2 linked regions of the Drosophila melanogaster genome follow. The protein of the gene in region 2 interacts with the protein of the main gene of each other region in a pairwise test. Each region holds a gene or a part of one and is shown on either strand. Other genes may lie near its edges.

Region 1 (3,804 bases), on a different chromosome or scaffold from region 2:
GCCGGTTGCGTTCTTTTCCTTGGATGCGTCTGGTAGATAAGTCTTCTCCAAATCGATTCCACTGCAGCAAAGCGATTCCTTGTGCCACTTTAAACAGCACTGGCGCATTGCCTCAAGGACATCCAAGCACTTGTCCTCCTGGTAGTGATTCTCTGTAACCGAGTGCAAGTCAGCTTACATAACCATGAAAATGGAGTCACCGGCGGTGCTTACTGGTCAGACAGGCTTGTATGCGGCAGGCGTTCGGTTTGCAGGGATCCTTGCGAGTGTCAGACATGTAATCCTGCCCAGAATTCTTACGATATTAAATCGCTCTTGCAATATGTGAAAAGTACTTGGAAGTGTTCTGCACTCTTCTTCTTCTTGGCGGTTGTAGTCATTCACAGTGCACGATCAAGGTAGCCAGACTGCGCGACGGTCAGCTGTGTAGGAAACCTAATACATCAAAGCAAAATAAAAAACAATCACATAAATAACAACAAAAAGAAATAACATCTCTTATAATGTACAAAAATTTTTAATCTTTCAAATTTTGATATTAATACCTTTTGCTTCCCTGTGAATACCCCGCCTGCTGCGAGAGCAACTGCCATTCACCCATCGACGCCGACAGTTGGGCACCAAGGAACTGTTCTTGTGTGAAAAACACACACACATTTGTTTTATTTCACTAGGACTCTTGACGATTACTTCACAAATCGGAAAATGCCATCGAAAAAGAAAAAATACAACGCACGCTTTCCGGCGGTAAGTTGAAACCACCGATTGGCGACAGGAAAGCTCCAGCCATTTGGCGGCCGTGAACGCCGAAGATGGGTTATCAGTTTTCGTGCATGTGTACATACATATGTACATACACGCCTCGCATAATCAGAGGCTCAAAAGAAGTAGAGGAGAAACCAAACCGGTGCGAGATTATAATGTTTCCAAACCATTACCATAAACTCCTTGCAGGGTCGCATCAAGAAGATCATGCAAAGCGACGAGGAAATCGGGAAGGTGGCCCAGGCGGTGCCTGTTATCATCTCACGCACGCTGGAGCTCTTCGTGGAGTCGCTGCTGACCAAGACGCTGCGCATCACGAATGCGCGCAACGCCAAGACGCTATCGCCATCGCACATGAGGCAGTGTATCGTATCCGAGAAACGCTTTGACTTCCTCAAGGAGCTGGTCCGCAACATACCCGACATCAGTGTGGCCGAGGAGGCCGCCTACAACGAGGACGATGTGTTACGCAGCTCGCCAGAGGAACAGTATCCAGATTCAGACACGCCATATGATCTTAGCCTGCCATCGACGTCAATGCGCTCGCAGGCGAACGGCACAGCTGCCTACATGCGCTCCATGAGTCTGAACAACGGAGCCGGATCGGGCGGAGGAGCCGCAGCCACCAAGCGGCAGTTTCAGTCGCAGCACTCCACCCAGGAAACTCCCACCACCAGCACCACCCTGCCCGCCAAGCTGGCCCGCTCCGGGTCCATGCCGGCCTACACGCCACGGGGCAGACCGCCCAATCACCTCAAGAAACAGTCGGTGCAGCTCGATACTGCCATACCCGCCCCGATCTGCAACTACGAACTCAACAAGCCCATTGTCAAGATCGACTACAGCCACGTGCAAATGCCGACGGCGAACCTGTGCACACCGGACGCCTCTGATTCTGGGTCAGGATCGGGCGCCGGATCTGGAGCTTTTAACTTCGACATAGCTGCTCCGGTGATCAATATCGATCTGACGAATATCGTGGCCGGTGGAGCACCTGGCAGTGGTGTGCCCCCCGCCTCTATTGGATTACCAGCGGCCACGCCGGGGGACAACAATAATGTGAACCAAATGGCTGGAAAGAGCAGCGCTCCCATCATTCCAAAGGCCACAGCGGCATCAGCGACCCCCACTGAAACCGTTTTCGAATTAGACGAAGACTATGACAATATTTGATTAGGATCTATGTGAATGCGCTTTTAAATTATTGATACATTAATATGTACTCTAGGTCTAAGAAATCACAATAACATTTTTTGCAAAATAAAGACCATGCTGGATTTTAAGCTGACGCAATGCGGAGTACTTTAAATAGAGAAAGAAAATTTATACATTCTAGCAGATAATGCTGTTTAATTTGCATACGATATTAAATCAGTTTATCTTTGAATTAGATGTACTAAACAAGTTCAACAATTATTGAAAATGTTTGCATTCATAGACACCATAAAAAAGCCGCCTCTGGGCGGCCGAAAGTCATTTATGCCCATCCCAGAGGCCAAGTTAGTTGACGATGTCGTCAGCTACATCGCCAAGCCAGAGTTCTATTCGACTGTTCCAGCGGCATTGAAGATGCAACGCCTTTTCTATGTGCAATACAGCGAACTGGCTGCCAAGTTGGAGACTGACCTCACAGCAGTGTTAACCCGTTTGGAGGCTGCCAAAAATAATTTGGAATTGGTGAGGAGGTTCATAGACAATCCTGACAAGGAAGTTCACAGCCTCGTGCAAATCGCACAGGGAGTATTCAGATGGGTGAGCATACCGCCAGTGCAAAAGGTTACCCTTCAAGTGGGCGCATCTCTGCAAATGGAATTCGAGCTGTCCGAGGCGGAGGAGTTCATCAAAAAGGACATCACCAGCCTGGTGAAGCAGCAATTGCAACATGAGCACGATATCGACTATCTGCAGGATCAGGTGAACACGATTGAGATGAACCTAGCCGTATTGTATAAACATGAAGTGGAGAACTAGAAGCATCCCACCATCCTTAAAATTGCTAGTACCTTGTAGTTGCTTATAAAGACATTCGTTCTAAATAAGTCTTTATTGTCTAAATGCCTTAATTTCCAACGAAGTACAGCTCTCCCTTGGAGTTCCCCACTAATTCATTCATTACAATTACATTATTAGCAGCCCGGTAAAGAGGTCAGAGTATCGGGACCGTAGGATCCCAGACTGTGCCCTACAAAATGTGACCTTTATTACCGAGCTCGGCTATTTACAAGCCTATACACATCATAATAATTATGACTTAATTTCGCCAGGGAGCACCGCTTAGTCATTGTGTAATCCTCGGTCACAGCCAATTACAATTGAATGCCTTTCAATCCCATGCCCATGCCTTCGTCCAGCTGTTACTCCAGCCCTCCGCATATTCGCACACGCAATCTGCCAGCCACAATTGATATTAATTTGTGCCCGATGTGGGTCAACCCATGATGTAGACTCCATTCCCTTCCAAGGATACCAAATTATATGGCAAAAGGACAAAACTGACCAGCAGATGAGCCACATATCGCGTGGGAAAATCTTATTGCAAGCGAATAAAATTACCCAACCGCTCCCAGTGAGCAAAGGTGCAGTTTTGAATTATATGAATTTTCATCCATGGGCTTGGCACACTAGATTAGGGTCAGCACTATTCCCGAATTTTGATTAGCCAAGCCCAAAGTCGAGATTAGATTGCTGCGCTCTCTCAACCAGATCAAGTGAATCCGCCAAAGAGTTTGGGCTCGGCTAATCGAAGCCCCTTCAATTGGGGGAATCAGATCTGCATCTGCACACCTGCACTCGTGGACTCCACGCTGTCCACCTGTCTTGAGTCATGGCGCAAAAAAAAAAGAGGTTAGAAACAATAAAAACAACTTGCGGCGCGCCGCCAGTGCCAAGTTTTCATGTCCAAGGCGTATTTATGTCAACCGGAAGTAGGTTTACTGACCCACGTATACCCGTGTGGCTGGCCAAACGTGGACTTCGGCTTTCTTCGGTGGTTTCTTCACCTAAACCCGACTGGTCAGTTGCCGTGGAGCTCCACGGCGC
Region 2 (3,839 bases):
ACAGCAAATGGGCAGGAGGAAGTGCGTCAGCCGGAGCAGCCGCAGAACGAACTGCTGGACATGGTTTTCACGTTGGAAAGCGAAAAACAGGCACTACTAGAGGAGTCTCGCAAACGGATCGGAGCGCTCCGCAAAGACTTTGAGGTTAGTTACTCGTCTCCACGGGCTGCACCCACTTACTGACCCTGATTGCAGGAAGCCAAGGCGGAAAATGAGCGTTTAAAGCGGAGAGTGGTCCAGTTGGAGCAGTCGCTCAAGCAGTCCGTCATGCTGGGCGGCACAGATGCTCCCAAATCACGACAAGAGCAGGAGGAGCTGCTTCTAAAGGCCAAAACCCTGCTGTTCGAGAAGACCAAGGTGAACAAACAGCAGGAGCAGCAGATATCAGTGCTTAGGACACAAGTAGACTCGATTAAGGATGTGCTGCAGGTGACCAAGGACATGTTGCAGCTAAAGACCGCCGAATGTGATCACACGCAGGCTCGTCTGGAGAAGAGCCAGCAGTGGATCAAGGCGGAGCAAGACAAGTGTGTGCTCACGGAGAAGAAACTAGCCATCTCCAAAGGAGTGTATGACAAGCTGCGTTCGGAGTACGACACCCAGTCACAGATATTCAAGGTGCCTTATAACTCGAGTCCAATGATATACTTGATATACTATTACCTTCTTTCCCTACAGGATCTTAAGTCCGCGTACGAGCAGAAGGTCAAGGTTCTCACCAAGGCTTTGGCAGAAGCCAAGAAATAGCTGAACAATTTAATAAACTACGTTAATTAAATGCACACATCTCGTTAATAAGTTTAATAATTTAATGCTTTCCGTGTCTCGTGTCTCTGTCGTTCTCCGTAGTCTAGGAGCTCTGGGTAACCGCCGGCTGCGATTGCTGCTGCGACTGCAATTTCGCTGCAGCAGCCTGCTTCATCTCCAGCACACTCATCACTGAGTTATAGAAGCGCGTCTTTTGCAGGTGGATCTTTTCGATTTTCTCGATCTGCTCCTGCACGTACTCCACGCGTCGCTTGAAGTAGTCTTTGGAGCCTTCCAGATCCTGTTTGAGAAACAGATGGCAATCAATAAATATTCTAGGTTCGATTGGAAATGTAAATCACCTTTTCAATGTAGTAGCCGGTGCCGATGTCTATGACGAACCTGTTGAGATCCTTGACCCGTCCTGGCACATACATACTGCTGGTCAGGGGCACCAGGATCTGACGGTTCTCCCAATTGGGTTGAAAGGTTCCCAGCGCCTCCTTGGATCCGGCGTACTTGGCTTGACAGCCGTGAAGCGTCGACAGCGAGTCCTGTACGTTGGTAATCTCCTAAGGATCACAAAAATGTACCGATTTTAGAAGCATGTGCCAATTGGGGCGCCCCTCCTCCAGAAACCCCCTCCGCGAGCACACTTGACTCATCACACACCCACATGCGGAACGCACCTGCTCGAACTCCTGCTTGATCTGAATCAGCTGTTCCGGACTCAACTTGGTCAGGTCGATCATCTCGGACTTGGCGGGTGCGCTTGGGGTGGCAGCCATTGCTAGTGCTTACACTTATAATTTACAATTCCACTTTTATTTTATTCAGTCGCCGTATAAGGTTGCCACCTTTGCGTATTCAACTCAACAGGGATGTCATGAAGCTGGGTCAGAAAATATCGATTTCACGGAAGCAATCGGGAATCGAATGATTCGTTGAAATAGTCGGTAGTCCAGTCCCGCCGACGATTTGTTATCGAGTACTAAGCGCGAAGTAAAAATTTAAAAAAAAAATCAGTGACTTCTGAATCTACAATATCTTTTGAGTTTAAAGACAGATCTTACTCAGCAAAAAAGCATTAACCAAACTTGTTTTTCAATTATAGTTTTATTGTATTTATTATATGCAATGTTATAATTCTGTGTTTTGTCAGTCATTCTGTATTTGTATGCGTTTTACAATTTTTGTTTTTGGTTTTCTCGTAAATTATAAAATCTAACACAAAACAAAGCAATTTCTTTAACAATCACTGCCGCTACATATACACGTTACAATTTGTTAAATATATATATATTTATATATATATAAGTAGGCACAGCTCAAGCGCCGCGCATCCAATACATGTTCATATACATATTCTCTGTTATATGTGGGGTGTTGTATGTCGGTTTTTATATATGTATAGATTAGATAACAATGATTTTAAGCCTAAGTAGAAGTAAGTTTTAGTTCCGATACTTGCGATCGTTCCCCTCTATATGCGCTCCCACTCGCAATCGCTGCTCCTCCGATCCTTGAACTATTAAGTTATATGCTTTAACTATGTTATTTTACCCATACAACTAACTGTACTCGTCCTTCGCGATCCTCCCACTATATCATACATACATAACATTTACCTTGATTTGGTTTTGATCTTAATAAAATGTAATTCGTTTTGAAACAATGAAGAAGATCTTGCTTTTGAGGGCGTGTCGATTCGATTTCTTAATCGCGGATATTTTAAGCTCCCCATCTGGATTTTGGATTCAATATCGTGTGCTCGCTGTTAAATCGCAAGGCAAATTTGTATAATTAGTTATATATAATTTGGTTTTCTCTTGAATCGAAACGAATAAACGTTAGTGGTTTACTTTAAATGCAGAGTTTTCATTGTGCAGCATTAACATTGTGAAGAGATAGAGAGAAAGTTGTCGGGAGAGAGTGTTACATTTATAAGTGGGAATGGTTTTGGTTATCAACAGCGTTAAAATTTGTGGTTTCTTTTCGTTTGGTTTCATTATCAAATCGAAGGGACGTAATTCGTAATAATAATCATTGATCGTTAAACATACTCGTACGTTATATGGTATGCATGTATGTATATTTTGTATAGATGTACATTTATAAATAGTATAGTTTGAATGTATGCGTGTATGTCCTGTATATATAGTTGTGTTTATGTACTGTACTGTACTGTATGTACTGTATGTACTGTGTTTCGCTATGTACTTGTAATTGTAATTGTCCTAGGTGTTCATTTCAGCTAGATTCGCTAGTTTGTCTCGTGTTTTCGCTTTCGCTTCCTTTTTGTATACAAGATAAGGGTTTAAAAAACTCGAAAATATATCAAAAGTTTCTTGAAATGCAGTATATATATGTTTTTTAGTTGTTAAATATATATATATATATTCATGTATATATAGTACTTTCCTAGGTATTTACAGCATACCTTGCCTTGGTTTCCATTAAGAATTCGAGAGAAGTATGTCCAGTAATTTCGCTAGTGATCGAATGCGTGAGTTGGTGATTGTGTGAGTGAGGTGAGTGTGCGTGTATTAGTAGTAGTATATCGAGTGTATATAGGTATTTTGTATATCTAATCCAAAATGATACACTAATTGGTATTGATAGTGAGACAAAAATTTTAATATAGCGCATCAAAATGATATATGCGATTATTAATATGTATACAGAATTTAATGGCGGCTTGCTGAATATCGAATTTCGCGTCTATGTATGTGTGCTTGTGTAATAGTATGTGGGTGTAAGCTGTGAGTGTGCTGGTGACTGCTGATTGTGTATACGTCACGTGGGCTTCGAAAAATACGCTTAAAGCTGCTATAATACTGTAAAATTGTTGCTTGATTTCCTCATTAGTCGACGGTAAAGTAATGTTCGCTCACATTGAATAGCAGTTGTTGTAGAAAAGCTAGGTAGGTTCGCTTCAGTGTCTTCGAATTTTGCGTGTGTGTTAGAGTGTTTCGTGTGTAAGTGTGCTAGTGTGTGTGTCTTGTCTTTTCCTTGATATGTCTGAGTTCATATTGCACGCAGATCGGTGACAATATTTAGTCTCAAATACATATAAAAAGTATATGTGTGGG

Evidence for each region.
Region 1: the proteins of Pfdn5 (region 2) and CG15676 interact in a two-hybrid assay, tested with the Drosophila melanogaster proteins (2 studies listed by BioGRID).

The regions. Positions count from the first base shown.
Region 1 is NT_033778.4:21,669,542-21,673,345, forward strand, and holds CG15676 (uncharacterized protein), read left to right. Parts: upstream 1-2,158; 5' UTR 2,159-2,187; coding exon 2,188-2,736; 3' UTR 2,737-3,304; downstream 3,305-3,804. Other genes in the region: CG42381 (uncharacterized protein), read right to left, coding at 1-152, 214-277; NC2alpha (negative cofactor 2alpha), read left to right, coding at 706-747, 955-1,938.
Region 2 is NT_033777.3:22,484,990-22,488,828, reverse strand, and holds Pfdn5 (prefoldin 5), read right to left. Parts: upstream 1,791-3,839; 5' UTR 1,536-1,790; coding exon 1,437-1,535; intron 1,320-1,436; coding exon 1,110-1,319; intron 1,049-1,109; coding exon 851-1,048; 3' UTR 748-850; downstream 1-747. Other genes in the region: CG5376 (uncharacterized protein), read left to right, coding at 1-144, 196-618, 679-747. UniProt on the Drosophila melanogaster protein: Binds specifically to cytosolic chaperonin (c-CPN) and transfers target proteins to it. Binds to nascent polypeptide chain and promotes folding in an environment in which there are many competing pathways for nonnative proteins.